Oreochromis niloticus: one gene and its partner. The protein of the gene in region 1 interacts with the protein of each later gene in a pairwise test. Links are inferred from orthologs where the notes say so. Each region holds a gene or a part of one and is shown on either strand. Other genes may lie near its edges.

Region 1 (7,749 bases):
TTATAACATGAACATAGTTTTATTTTTTTATTAATTACAAATACAGTCACATCAAAAACTTTGTCTCTTTGATCTGCAAGGATTTGTAAATTCACTGATTTTGAAAAAGCATGTTGTTTTAAGTCACTACAACCACATCAAGAAGAAACATACAGCATCACACAGATTTAACTCCTCCGGTGTCTATTTAATGTCTATATCTACATTTGCCAGCTTCCTAAGTATCCCATAATAAACTTTAGATCTAGTCAGTGTGTCCTGCTGGGATGTTTCAAGAGTACAGGGCTATTTGGTCCCTGTACAACTGTATTCACACTTATTTCTAGTGGGTGATAGAATCTCCCAAGGCTGCTTTGACTGATTTTGTCCATGATTTTTATGGACAGAGTTTTAAGGTCAACAGGTCCAACCAAAGGTTGTAGTGTGTCAGGGTTGGTAGTCTCAGAATCTCATGTCCGCTTTTTACAAGTGATGCTCACTCAGTTGTCTTCATTATGGCTCAGGTGGTAGAGCAGGTCACCTAATAACCGCAAGTTGGTGGTTCGATCCCAGTCTGCCCTAGTCTGCATGCCAAATATCGTTGTACAAGATGTTAGTCCCATATTATTCTCTGGTGGGAGCGCATGTGAATGTTAGACAAAAAGCACTTAGAACCAGCATAGAGAAAAAGTGCTTGTGTGAATGGATGAATGAAACAAGTTGTGTAAAGCACTTTGACTGAGACAGAGTACAAGGGCGCTATATAAGAATCAGTCCATTTACCATTAAGAGATACCCTCCAGCTCGGAGGATTCCAGAGTTTGGTTCGAAGCTAAGTGTTAAGTGTCTTGAATGAGAATTAGGACCACAAACTGTGAGGCCAGAGTTCTCAATCTTAACCCAGAGTGCACATTCTGGGTTAAGAAAAAGTTGCTGTCCCAAGTGGTGAGGTCTTAGTATCTCAGGAGAGTGACAGATGGATAGGTCTGTCATCAGCAGTAGCACAGTAGCAATAACATCCTGAGAGTGAATCCAGGCTGGGATATTTCTGTCTGTAGTTTCCATGTTCTTTACTATGACTACATGGGCTCTCCCTGGGGGTACTCCAGCTTCATTTCACACTCCAGAGACGTTATTGTGTTCTCACCTCCACTTTTGCCAATCTGTCTGTAGCATTTCCAGAATACTCGAATGAAGGATGCTCTGTTATGTGGAGTGGCCTGGATGTAGTTAAACTCTCTGAAGAGGACGTGGTTGCTGTTCTTTACACTGCTGAAACTACAGAGACATTACAAACCCAGATATATTATATATTTCACACACACACACACACACACACACAAATTTACTCGATTTCTCTCTGTGATTAATAAAGTCTCTCTGACTCTGATATGTCTATATAAATAACTTTCTCTCGGGACAAGGAAGGGAAGCTGCGCTTGCCTTATCAAAGCTCCCCACCTGCCACCTTGTGACCACAGGGAGTTAGAATTGCTGCAGCTCTCTCTGGTTTGAGGGCGTGTCCATCTCCTGGCCAGCAGCTTTTTTTTCTGGTTGTTTTGTGCATGTGCACTGTGGATAAATTGCTAGTCTTTAACGGTAAACTGATGGGAGACCAGTGTGAGAAACAAGCTGCCGTTGGCTCGGCTTTCACTGCTCTGACACCAGTAATAAACTGTGCTTTGTATGGAAACACGGGCACCATTACCCTGTAAATTAGCTTCAGTCAGATTCAACATAACGGATGAGTTTCTTCTTGGTAACCACCTTGGCCAACATGTGTAATGTAGAGAATATGGTGTGAGAAAAAGTTTTTATTAACTTCTTTAGTACTGTGACAATAATCAAGATGGGATAGTAGCTCAGACCATGTCTGCTCTAATAAAACAGGCGAGTTAACCAGGCATAGACTCAGCAGCGTTTTCAGATTAACATCTATAAGATTTCCCGAATGTAGATTTTTTTCATTAATATGTTTAATTCCCCAATAGATGTATGCACAAGCTTTTCAATTCAACTGTTTTTATTATTAATGTATTTTAATACACTTTAAAAAAAATCATGATGAAGGACTGTGAAACTGAGCTCTTAAACAACAATTTCTTTTTTAGAGATTAGATTTTTCAGAGATATGCGATGCTCACACAACAGCCACACATATGATGAATATGATTAATATGATACTGTACATTAGGGCTGCAGCTATCGATGATTTCGGTAATTGAATAATGTATCGATTATTCCATCCATTAATCAAGTAATCAGATAAGTTACTTATTCCGATCTCCGTGTTCCAGATGTTCAATCTACAGATTCACCATTTTCACAGACTTTTCCTGTCTGTGTGTCACTGTGGAATGCAGGATTAAAGACCTGAGGGGGGGGGGCTCCATCTCCAGCTCGTGCAAATGCATGTAAGTATCAATATGATCTTCAGACAACAATGAAATGAAGATAGTATTGATACGTATAGCTTGTGCATTTGCGCGAGTTGGAGATGATAATCCTTTTAAACCGTATGACACACCATTCCTTGAACATGACGAAGTAACAACAAGAACACGGTGAGTCGAATAAGTAAACAAATCTAACTAGTTAACGTAAGAACCTGTTAACCTGAAGCACCGGAGCTGCAGTCTCACTGTTTCAACAACTGTGTGGAACCTACTATTCAGCGAAGTAGCGAATCACTCCGAACTGGTTGTATTCCTCTTTGTGTTCTAGCAGCTGGATCACAGCATCATTCAGGTAGAACAGCACATTGCTGTCCGCTGGAACACAGACACACACACAGATTATAAAGTTAGCCTAGGCGCTAACTGACACAGCTAACAACACACGACCTACCGAGATACTGGTCAGCGGGAACCGTGGGGTTCAAACGGTTCATTCTGCTCTTCCCAGAGAAACCCACTGAGACGAGACTTAATAAATACGCAGCTATAATCGGTGAACAGTGCAGCTATTTACTGTACGTACACTGTGTTCTTATTACTCGGAATTATGTTAGCTAGCTGTCGTGAGCTGGTGGACTTCCATGGAAACCGCCGGATGTTGTGAGTTACATTAATCAGAGCCCCTCGAACAATACTACTTACAAAGATTCCCCTTTGAAAGCAAATGTTTTACAGAGCTTTCAGAATAAAAACTGAGAAAAATTGGAACTTGTATTTTGAATTTACAGTTACAGAAAAATATTCACAAATGTGTAGATTGATATTCTCACAAATAGAATAAAATAGAATAGATCTTTATTGTCACTGTTACAAGAACAATGAAACACAGTTTGGCATCTCTCTCTCTCTCTGTGTGTGTGTGTGTGTGTGTGTGTGTGTGTGTGGATAGATAGATAGATAGATAGATAGATAAAATGAATAAGTGAGTGATCAGAGCAGTATAAGGTGCAATGTGGTCAGTGGTATTGCGCATTAAGTAAGGAATAGGAATGCTGGTTGCTACTATAATAAATACAGTTATATAAATAGAGAATGTTGGTTGCATTATAGTATAATAAATATGGTTCATAAATACAGTGTAAATGTCCATGGATTTTAACAGCACAGTTAACCTTCAATCAGGGTGAGGGTAGGGCATGTTTGACAGCCTTGATCTTGACATTGAGTCTGTTTGTCTTTGACCTGATCGACCTGTAGCGTTTACAGTAAGGAAGGAGAAAAAAAAGTGAGTGTCCAGGGTGCAAGGGGTCCTTGATGATGATACTGGCTTTCCACTGAAGTCTGCTGGTATAAATGTCTCTGAGGGGGGTTAGCGAAGTGCCAATTGCCTGCTCTGCCGCCCTCACCACCTGCTGCAGTTTTCTCTTGTCCTCCACAGTACAGCAGTTGAACCAGAGTGTGCAGCAATAGGTCAGAAGACTCTCGGTGGTGGAGCGGTAGAAGTAAATTAGAAGTCTGGAGTAATTGCATCTGCTACAGCTTCCTGAGAAAGTACAGCCTTTGTTGTGCTTTTCCTACCTGCTGGGAAATGTTTTTAGACCAGGTAAGGTTTTTACCGAGATGTGGACCCTGAGGAACTTGAAGCTGCATCAATGTAGAGGGCGGAGTGCTCAGATCGCCTTGTTCTCCTGAAGTCAATTACCATCTCCTTAGTCTTGGCTGTGTTCAGATGTAGGTTGTTGTTGTCACACCATCGCTTCAGATGCTGAACCACCTCTCTGTAGGCTGAATCACTCTATGTAATCACCCAATCAGTCCTATGTAGGTGGTGTCATCAGCAAATACACTGTGAGCTGCAAACTTCTCATTTAAATTTTACTTAAAGTAATTAATTAATTAATTTTTGTACTGCTTACAACCACATCTCCGTGATTACAACCTCTTAAATCAGTGAATACAAGCACTCGACTGTTCCCTCTCAAGTCAGATCATTATTCTGCAATTTTGCAACACTTCTTGGGAGAAAAGCATTTCAAAACTTGCACTTGTAACTGAAGGGGGATAAAAAGGGGTGTTGGTGGTGGTGGAGGGAAGGTATGGGGGGGCGGGTAACGGCAGTAGAGGTCAGCCAATCAGAAGGCCTCTGTCCTCTTTTCACCATGTTGGATTCGCAACTACAAAGCACTGAGCCTGGTTTCCTTCAAAACTTTGTTTAGTACATTAGCACTGTGGTTGATTAGGAAATTAACACAGACACAGCAGTCCCCCATTCCTCATTAGGAGCAGCAGCAAAAACCAGAGTGAATGATCATTTTAGCTAACGGCACTAGTTAACTAGCTACCCAGCGTACACTGATCAGTAATACACTGTTATAACAGTTCTAATCCTTTTTAACAGACCTGAATGTTGCAGCTGCATAACACACTGTTGATGACGACTGTGATCTGTTATCTTTGTACCAGAATAAAGAGGGAACCCAGAGTATGAGCAAGTCCAGTGTCTCAGTGCCATCCTTTCTGCAAAGGCTTATGAAGTCACATCCACCACAGATTCTCAGGACCACAACAGCTATACCAGCAGTATCTTCTCACTCAGTTTATCCCACTGTTGGCAGTAAAAGAGGACTTAGTTCATCTCTGAGCCCTCACTCTGAACCACAGCACTTTTCGCAGGGACATCAGTACATCACACTTTAAATCACACTAAACTAGTCTTCCTCAGTACTTTCATGCTGACTTACCCATATTTATTATGCTAAAAGGAAGCAGTACCAAGTTCATACCAACACTTACAAGTTTACAAGTTCATAATAAATCCCTGAACTCAACAGATAAAGCTGCCTCTGCTGTCCTTTTTTTGTTCTTTTGATTGATTGGTCATTTTGTTTTGGTTAGTCTGTCCAGCAGTAAAGGCCGTTATGAATGATTGAGAATGAGTCTTGTAAGGGCGGACTAATCTCTTTCTTGTTTTTTCGTTTATTTGTTTGTGCCACTTCCCTTAAAGAACCCAGGTTGTAGGTCATACATAGCGCTGATTCCCAGCTAGGCTGTTTGCAGTGCGTGCCCACAAGTAAATTGATTGCGATTTCTCTAAAACTGGGTGTGACAGTTTTCAGTGTAGTGCTATTTGCCTGCACCTTTGGTTTGATAGGTCTCATGTGCAGCTGGGATATTACTAGAATTTATTTCTTTGGCATTTCATTCGACACCTTAGTGCTTGGTTATATAAATGTTTAAAGTAGATCATCTTTAGTTATTTCGATTCAGAAACAACACAGAATTATAAGTCAAATGTCTCCTATGTGTGTTGTCCGTTATCCGTGGCTGTACTATCCATGGAAAAAGACAAACTCTCTATACTTAAATGTTTCATAAACATTCTTTAAGATACTAAAATTCAACTCAAATTAGAGAGGCTGGGATTTGGTCACTTCGTACAGCCAACAACAATATTAGAGCACTTTTCAGCCCAAATTGATTTTGGGGCAGTCAGTTTTGTCTTATCAAGCCACTCATACCTGGAATACAATACCCTCAGAAATAAAGAATATATAACATTCTTTATTTCTTTTTCTAAATTTGTGAAATAGTGATTATTGGATAATCAAACATGTTGTCATGACATAATGCCCTTGAAAGTCCGATTCTAATGTTTTGGGGGATTTTTTGTAAGTGATCATAGTGTTTGATCTTTAATAATGGTATAAGGACATGTGTTTATGTCACAAGTGTTTCTGTATTTTACTTATGTTCACACGCTTCAAAATGTTTGGTTTGTTGATTTATTTAATATGCCATTAACCTGCCAGGGTTTATGAAAATGAGTCTGTGGGTAAATCTGGCATATTTACATGATGAATTTAAGTGCTCACGTTAATTAATAAGTGTTATCCCTTTTAAATAAACACAAACATTTACAAATTGTATTGATGATCACAGCCATCACTAAAAAATTAAACTGTGCATGGCCCTTGGTGTGCTATGTCCAGCTGATATTGAAATGTGTGTACTCATGTAATTAAAACATATGAACAAATGAAAAGAAATTATCTCTACTCTTATTGTTGTCAACAACAGCAACAACCCACAATGAACGGGTCTTGACAAGGTAGGGATCCCCGACACAGTTAGGTTCCCCTGTGTCGGGAGCATGCGCTGGCCTGTCCAAATCACGGACAAACAGTATCCGTCATTCTTGATTTTTAGTTTGCAAACATTTCTTATAATGACTTGTTACTACTGAAATTTTGGAGGTTTTAGCTTTTTATACAATCAAATTACAGGAGGATACATATTACCAGGCATAATGTCGTCGGTTTGTTGAAATAATCCCGTCCGATAATATGTGAGAACAACAAATGTATCATTTCTGTTGTAACCCACAAACTGAACGGTAATTTAACGACACCCATCTTTTACTTTCTCACTAAACTAAAACGTCACGACTTCCACGTCTGTTTAGTTTGAATGGAGGCGGAGTCAACTGGATCCGGTTTCCCTGCCCAGCGCGTCCTCCAGATGCAGGGGAAACTAATTCCTTCAGATATACCTACCTTTACCTACCTTGACACGACACAATCATTTTATGGTGGCCATCAAATTCTGCACTGAGCTTTGGAGAGAGTTTTATATATCCTTTATTTACCCGGATTAAAAGTGTCGTTGACATTAAAAATGTGTCTTTCGAGAGGGCCAAGAGGGCAGCAGAAATTGTAACAAACATAACATAACAGTTCTATAAACTTACTTAAAGTGACCAAAACGCACTGCATTGATGACAATATGGGTACAAATACGCAGAGTCATAAAGATACTTCAACAACAGGCTATTTCTTTCTTCTATATATAACCCAATCATAAATCATGTTCACTACTGTCTATGTACTAATATGAGTAAAAATATTCGACCGTAAAAGACACATAAAAACATCGGAAATCGGTTTTTGGTATATCTCCAAAAGTTGAATCTGTTCATCTGGACGTAGCGTTTTGTGGGAGAAACGTTTCTCCCACAAAACGCTACGTCCAGATGAACAGATTCAACTTTTGGAGATTTACTTTCCTGGATGATTGAGAATGCATCAAGAGGTTTTTGGTATAACATCGCTCATCCCAAACTGCACATAACTAAAGTTTAAAGGGCGTGCACGAAACAAACAAGTAGTGTTTACATAGACAATAGTAGTTTTGAGATAGACTTAATTTCAGAGTAGCCAATGAAATCTCTTCTGAGAAAGCAATGCACGCGTTGTTCCAATCAGCTAAGGAAATTCACACATTGAAGGCGGAGCATATTTCAAACGCAACCAATCTCTCTCCACATCTGTCTCCGTCTAGTGAAAAACAAGGAAGCCCATTAGATGAATAAGTAGTC
Region 2 (7,789 bases), on another chromosome or scaffold:
AAGGCTGCTCCAACGGAACTTATTGTTTCGGAGGAAAACACGAACACAGTGTACAGTCGAGTCTTAATAGCTTACTTACAGCTGGGCTCGTCAGGCACTCTTCTTGGCTGCTGTGGTTATTATTATATTTACATGCTTCCAGCTCTCGTTTTTGCTCCGTGACAGCTCGGACTTTTCCTTTCTCTCCCTCCCTCGCTCACAGACACATAACGTGTATGGCAGTCCATTCTCCCTGCAGCACGGACTACACTGCCCATGATGCTACATTCTTTAGGGCTATGCCTGTAGCATTCTGCCTATTAGCTTAGCACAACAACAACAACAAAAAGCGCTCTCTCACCCAGGAAACACACAGTCGCAGAGAGAGCGCGTCACCCTGTAACCATGGCAACTGCAACGCTGCCGCCTGGAACAACAGAACGTAGCTGTCAAACAAAACCCAAACAGTCGTGTAATCCATTTATTTCAACAAAGTAACTGTATTCTAAATACCACCTTTTTAAACAGTAACTGTAACGGAATACAGTTACTCATATTTTGTATTTTAAATACATAACGGCGGTACATGTATTCCGTTACTCCCCAACACTGTGTGCGATACCACTGATTTCCTTTCCGATCCAATTCCAAGTAAAATTCAGGGTGGTATCAACGATGCTGATCCGATACCAATACTTTGTTCAAAAGCTTAATGTGTTATTTTATTTCAAATTATAGCTTCATAATGATTACAGGACATCAGACTACTTGGTCTTATTGTTTAGTTATGAAGAATTATCACATAGAAATAAAAAAACCTGAGGTTAATTGACGCTACTTGAACACGTATATATCTTCCCTGGACATTTCAACAACAACATTCAACATTCAACATTCACACTCATTCACAGTCGTGCTCCTCCACACTGCAAAGGCAATCAGGCAGCTAATTGGGGAGAGGGTAGTGTGCCATGACTTATGAGATGAAATCTCTGAACACATTTTAATCACCACTATAGCACTGTGATTGTTGCTTTCCACAATAATTAGTTAACACAACAAAACACACCCTTCAGCTTGTCGTGTGTTTTGAAACTGGGTTTTTGGAGACCTGGTATGTCAGTGTTTCTGTCTGTAAAGCACACAAAAAGGTTCGGACATTTTTCATAGTGCACGTTTGAGGTTTATTTTTTCCAAAGGAATAATTGACACAGTTCAGGGGGCTACATGTTGAACTTGAAAGATAAAAGCAAAGTATCAATCCAATCGTGCTAGTATCGATGCGATACCAATACTAGTGTTGGTATCGATACTATCGATATTTGGATCGATCCGCCCACCTCTAGCATGAAGCCTGCCGTCCAGGTGAGAGTTGGCCTGCTGCTCACCTGATCTCTGAGGACTTCATGGTGTCAGTTCAGGTCTTATCCGGTTGTTCAGTGATGACGTGACGAATCCTACTTCCGGGCCTAAAGTAGTCTGCGTTTAATATGGCTTTTGTGTTGTTAACATGTTTAATGTTTTGTATTTTCTTCTATTTAATCTCAAAAAGCTCCTAAAAACAGTCAGTGATCACTGTTGACCTCCCTCGGCTTTTATTACTGCTAATCATTTATTTAAGCTCAGTTTTTAAAACCTTACGATGTAACTACAGCACAGCCCATGCAGCAGTATATGAATAACTAACCTCGTATTGTGGATGGATTATCTCACTTGTTCTCCTGGCTGAAGTTTAGTCCTTTTACAGCATCCTGCCATGCTATTACATTTGTTCCTGACCACTGAGAACACTCACGTTAACTTTTATCGAGTGGAAAAAAAGTTAGCTTGTTTATATTATGCTAACATAGCTGTGTCGCTAGCGGTCACGTAGCACATCATTATATAGCAGCTAGCCAAACTTCAGTAACCCTACAAACGTCACTGCTGTTTAGTTTTCTGTCTTCATTTATGTTGGAAGTGATAGCAGAGCTGTACGTTTGAATTTTTTTCCAAAACCCCGCAGTCAGGACATGCTATATTGTATTTAGATGGAAGCTAGCGAGCTAACTTCCTGCTAACTTCTAACGCCGTTAAATGTCATAAATTCCATTTTCATGGATGCCTGGATGTTAAACTCAATTGTTACACCTGGTAGAGCAGAACACTGATCATTTTATTAAAGATGAAAGACTTTAGACAGTTTTTCAACTCTCAGTAATGCCACAGTGATCGTTTGATATATGGACCTGCAGCGGAGTTTAGGCCCAGACACGGCCAGTGACGTCAGACTGAACAACCGGATTGATGAAAGCCTCATTTTGAATTTTGGTATCAATCGATACAGAGCCGATACTTTTAACCTTTTAAAGGCAGATTATGCAGGAGAGAGCAGGGGGTCACGATTTATGAGATGAATCATCATCTGTAAATTATTAACACATTTTAATGACCCCTGTGAATTAAGACAATAAAACACACCCTTCATCTTTTATTTTGAAATGTGCCTGTGTCAAAGGCTCAGCTTCTGTAGTTTAAATGTGCTTCAGGCTATACATCAAAACACTTCATATTTATATAACACAGTTCGGTGGGGTAATTTCTGCACTCATAGGTTACCAAAAAGCTTCAGGGGCTTTACTACCGCCCTCTGGACGGGAGTGCAGCTAACACTGAAAAATAATTTAACCCAGAAAAACAGAGTCCGAGTCAGTCTGCGCTGCAGAGACGGTGTTTTCCTGTAAGCTAAACGTGACACATCCTCAGTGAGGACGTGACGCTCACTCTAAGGCCTTTACTCCAAGAAAATTCCAGAATAAAAGCTGGAAATGAGCTCACTGAATTAGCGTTAAATGTGTACCATCTGACACCAGCGGCACTAACCAGACCGGCTATACCTGATAAAATAAGAGCTCCCGGGGAGGCTCAGCTCAGCGGGAGCTTTGAAGAGCGTGTTCAGGATAATGAGAACAGGCGTTATTTACCTGCTGGGAGTTTCTGCACTGAGAGTCCATCCAAATGTCAAACAGTCTATTATCTGCAGCTCATCACACCTCCTCCTCCTCCTCACAGCTCCTTTCGCACCTTCTTTTCTTCTTCTTTCTCCCCACCCTGTGCAGCAGACGCTCGTCAGCGTCCCGCCCACACACAGGCTTCCAGTAACCATAAAGTAACGATGGGGCAGATATCGATTCGTTGTGTCTGTTTTTATGGATTTTTATTGCAGATTTGAAAAGCTCCAAAGTGCCATCCACATAATGGTGCACTTTACCTGCAGTGAGATAATTAGAACAAAATGTCCTTTAAAACCATTCTGACATCATCCTGCTTTCCAGAGGAGCCACAGCGTTTACCCGCTCACACATGCAGCTCCTCTGCTGTCCCGGTCACAGGTAACAGGATTATTGAGCACATGCACACCTGTCCTGAATGTGAGCATGTCACGTTTTTTGCCCTGTGAACCACATTCAGAGTCACTCTGAGGGATGCATGTGGATGAGCTTCGGTCCTCAGATCATCAAGCTCCTTACGCATCACCAGGTGGACAACCGTTATTGGAGGATGTGGTCCAGATTTAGAGCGATGGCAGAAAAACTCAATAAACCAGAGAAGGGCAGAAGCCTGACAGCTACGAAACTTCAGAACAGAATGAGAAAAATTAGCCTTCCACACTGACACTCACCTGTGTGTGTTCAGTCTTCAGAAAACTGCCTGAAGAGAATCGCTGCTGTGCCTCACACAGTGCACAGCCAATCAGAGTGCTGGATCACAGGGCTTGCCTGAATGTTGGGGTTGTTGGGAATCCTCAGGTGCTTTACTATATAAAGCACCTGAGGTAACTACTGTTGTGATCTGGGCCATTATAAATAAAATGGAAAGAAATCAAATAAATGGAACAGACTCGTCTTTGTTGTTCTGACATTCTCTGAGGGTGAGTAAAAGGTTTGATTGTTTTTATCCTGCCGGCCTTTAAGGTTTGGATTTCAGTCTGTAGCCCTGCACCTATGAAGCTTCAGCAGAAACAGACCTGGCCCGTCACTAAATGATTACAAACTAATATCCAGCCAGAGACAGAACCTGGGACAGATAACAGACAGCTAAACAAATGAATCTCCTTGTTTTATCTCTTGCACCCTCATTACTGTCTGGGTTTCTATCCAGCAGCACACTGACCTGTCGCTGCCCTGAGTCTTTGTAGTGCCTAATGATGGCGTTACATGCTGTTACAGCAGGTGATTAAAAACATCATCCATTAAAAACTGAGCAGAAGACAAAGAGAAAGATGAAATTACAGGAGAAAAAGTGATGAAACAAACACTTCAGAGCCTGCCTGAGGTGGCGTCCACTTCACCGCTCAGCACAGCAGCATGTTCTGGTTCAGTCATTAACGCTCACAGTCAGAGAGCAGTCCTTTCAACGTCACAGCTTTGGGGAAATTAAAGAGAAAAATACATTTCATGTTGTTCCAAAGCTCATCCATCCTCCCACAGCCTGTACTTGTTATTCCGTCTTCAGGAGCTTGAACACGATGATGGAAAAGAAGCATGAAAGATCTGATTGCACAGTAAACATTAGAAACAGGAGCAGGTTTTGCCTGTGATCCTGGGAGCTGTGGTATCCCTGGTTGGGTCTCTTAATCAGACCCATAGGCGGGGCCAGACGGAGGGCCAATCAGGACAACTTCAGTGACCTCACCTGAAGAGGGAAATCAGTGCCACCTCATGGAGTCAGACCTAGTATCTGTGGCTCGGCCCAAATGGATAACTGAAGCACTGGGGTGGCTGGGTGATGTGACCCCCTGCAGACTGCCTTGTGGGATACAGCACTGGTTGGGAGGAACTGGGACCAGTGAGACTGTGTTCCATACTGGGCCTGGGCTCATGTCTGAGCTGGACTCTTTCCTTTGCCAGACTGACTCATGGTCAGAAGTGCTGGATTGCTGTGGGGATGCTCACATGCCCCCGGCTGAGCGCCATTGTCCTGTCACAACCACACCACCCTGATTGGTTTACAGTAGTCAATCCTTTAGTGGGATCCTGGAAAAGCTTCTCCGGGGAAACTTTGCTTTTGTTTGGGTGACGCCTGGAGAGGAGGGATTGAACGTGCCTGATCTGAACCACAGAGGTGTTTTATGATTGGACTCCTGCGTAGATCTGGGTCATCCAGAACAAACACACTATTCTAGCCTCATAAGTGCACTCGATACCACAGCACAGCACGACAATGAGTGACGTTGTTCGTGAATCGTGTGATCTGTAGCCTTACTTCCTCTACAGCAGGCTGATGAACCAGCCAGAGCTGTCCCCTGATCACCACCCAGTGGTAAGGACGTCAGTCTCTGTTTGTTTCTGAATAGAGCTCCTGCTCCTCCACAGGACGTGATCAGGATGCTTCCTGTTTCCTTGGGAGGATTTTTAAGCATGCCCAGCTGGGAGGAGCCCCTACTTGTGGCCTGGGAGTGGCTCAGGACACCCCAGGAAAAACTGGAAAACGATGCCACCACGACTGACTACAGACCTGTGAAAGAGGATGGATGGACCTGTGAGTACACCCTGGAGACAATACTGACATTAAACAAGAGCTCTGATCATGAAGGTCTCTCCAGTAGTCTCATTAAAGGTCCCAGCAGCTTTTGTTCACCTTCCACAAAGAAGAGAAATGTTAGTGTTGGAAAGATGGCGTAAAAAGTCTTCATCAACAAGTTCAACCTGAAGGTGATTACAGAGTCTACATCTGATGACAGTAAGAAATGTGGATTCTCTGGAGTAATGTGAGTCCCGATAATTCTGATCATGTGATACGAGCCTGTGAAAGTCAGTCAGCCAGCTCACTTGTGTGGATCCAGGCTGTTTAACACCACTGCAAAACCACTGAAAACATTCATCCTGCAGAACATGCATGTGTAATTATAAACAGATCACGTCCTGCCTACATTAAACCAGAAACACACCAAACAAACACGCGTGACCATCTGAGACAGGACGTTACCGAGTTTAGAAACACCAAAAATCCACAGTGAACCTTCCCCTGCATCCAAAACAGATCGCACGTTATTTTATATACATGAGTTATAAATGAGAGAGATGGAGCAGAACCTGAGCTGAGTGACTCACACTGACACAATGATCCTGTGGTACTTAAGCTTTAAAGTTCAGCATTTTTAATAATGTATGAAAATGTAACAAGGACACGCTGAAAGCCCAAAGTTGGATAAAAGCTCCAATTAAGGAGTAATTAGCATTAATGCAGTGCAACAGGAATACGAGAAGGCAACAGTGACGTTAATGGAGGCTGAGAGTGGGAGGGCAGGGACACATAAAGCTGTTTGCTGCCGGCACAGCTTCACATTCAAGGCTTTTGGCACCACAAACGATGTTATCCATCCACAGGTCTGTGCAGACCTTTAACTCTGCTGAGGGTTCAACAACAGTCGTTCTTTTATAGGACATTTAGCCTAACAAGAAAACAATCACAATAATCAGCTGTATGTGTAGTCGTACTCGGCCAGCTGTGCTGCGGGGCAAGCCGTGCCCTCTGAGTGTGCACGTGGCCAACAACACACGAGAACGGCAACTTCATTTTCATCCAGTTTTAGTCGTGAGGCCATTCATTCACTGGTTTACTGGCATACATACTTCTGCATAGCTGCACAGTGGGCTCACACGTTATTATTGCAATGAATTTTCAGAGATGTAGAGATCACAACATCTTACAGGGATTTAATCTACCCTGAGTGGCCACACTGATTTTACCTAACAGAAACCAGAGGGCGGGGCTCCTTTGAACACTTCTCATTTCTCATTGTGTGGTTTTCTTTTTCTGCTGTTCACATTACCAACCTGAACTGCCTTATCAGCACGTATATGTAAACTGCACATGCGTCCTCCTTCCTCCTCTTACAATAAGAATAAGAATAAGAATAAGAACAACTTTATTTATCCCGAGGGAAATTCTTTTGTCACGTACATGCTCAAAGCAGCAGGAGAGACAGAGAAACAGATGAAATAGATATAAGATATACAATATATACAATAAGAATAGTGTACAGTAATATACAGTAGGATAGAGTTATCCAATACTATGTCTTGCACTAACAAAGTAATATATATAACTATATCCTGGTGAATAAATAACTTAACTATCAGTGCAGGCGGTTCTAGAAAGTGACAAAGTATTGTGCAATAGAATAAAGGGAGTAGCAGCATATGATGGGGGGATGAAAACAAATATTCAATAAGTACTCTTGGGTAATATTGCACGGTCTGGGAGGGAACAGAATAACATAGGTAATAGTCTCAGGAAGCTAAAAGCAAACCTGCCATCTACCCGAGGTTTCAGTTCTGGTACCGGTTAAAAGATTAATCCAATTTATTTACGAAGATGAACGTCCTTTTAAGCGACACACTTCCTGTCCCGTTTGATTGATTGATTGATATACCTTTATTAGTCCCACAAGGGGAAATTTCATAAGGCTGCCGACCTATTGCACGCAATGGCGGCGCCATCTTACCCTCCGACCATACATACATTACACAAACATCACATGGGGAAGACAGGTCAGAGAGGTATAACAATGGAAAATGCACCACATGAGGAAAGATAAGGCGAAAAAAATAACTCCCCCCAGACTGAGCTCCAACAGGGAGATTAGTTTGAGAACAGAAAAAAAAACACCTCTGCACATAGCACATGAAAAAACTCTTAATACACCAAAGAAACACATGACAAGCAACAGGGGCGGGTAAAGGGTGAGAGACAGCCGATGTAGACAGTACATCCGGGCCTGCAGCATAAGCGCTGGTCTCCATGATCCACCGTCAGCATCGGAAGG

Evidence for each region.
Region 2: the proteins of cstpp1 (region 1) and ras-related protein Rab-7L1 interact in a two-hybrid assay, tested with the Homo sapiens proteins (2 studies listed by BioGRID and IntAct). The two-hybrid records come from large-scale screens. The link is inferred for Oreochromis niloticus from reciprocal best matches to the Homo sapiens genes CSTPP1 and RAB29.

What each region holds. Positions count from the first base shown.
Region 1 is NC_031972.2:38,744,792-38,752,540, reverse strand, and holds the start of cstpp1 (centriolar satellite-associated tubulin polyglutamylase complex regulator 1), read right to left. Parts: upstream 3,055-7,749; 5' UTR 2,870-3,054; coding exon 2,827-2,869; intron 2,751-2,826; coding exon 2,648-2,750; intron 1,258-2,647; coding exon 1,127-1,257; intron 1-1,126. UniProt on the Homo sapiens protein: Regulator of the tubulin polyglutamylase complex (TPGC) that controls cytoskeletal organization, nuclear shape, and cilium disassembly by balancing microtubule and actin assembly.
Region 2 is NC_031984.2:592,759-600,547, reverse strand, and holds the start of ras-related protein Rab-7L1, read right to left. Parts: upstream 3,047-7,789; 5' UTR 2,973-3,046; coding exon 2,943-2,972; intron 1-2,942. UniProt on the Homo sapiens protein: The small GTPases Rab are key regulators in vesicle trafficking. Essential for maintaining the integrity of the endosome-trans-Golgi network structure.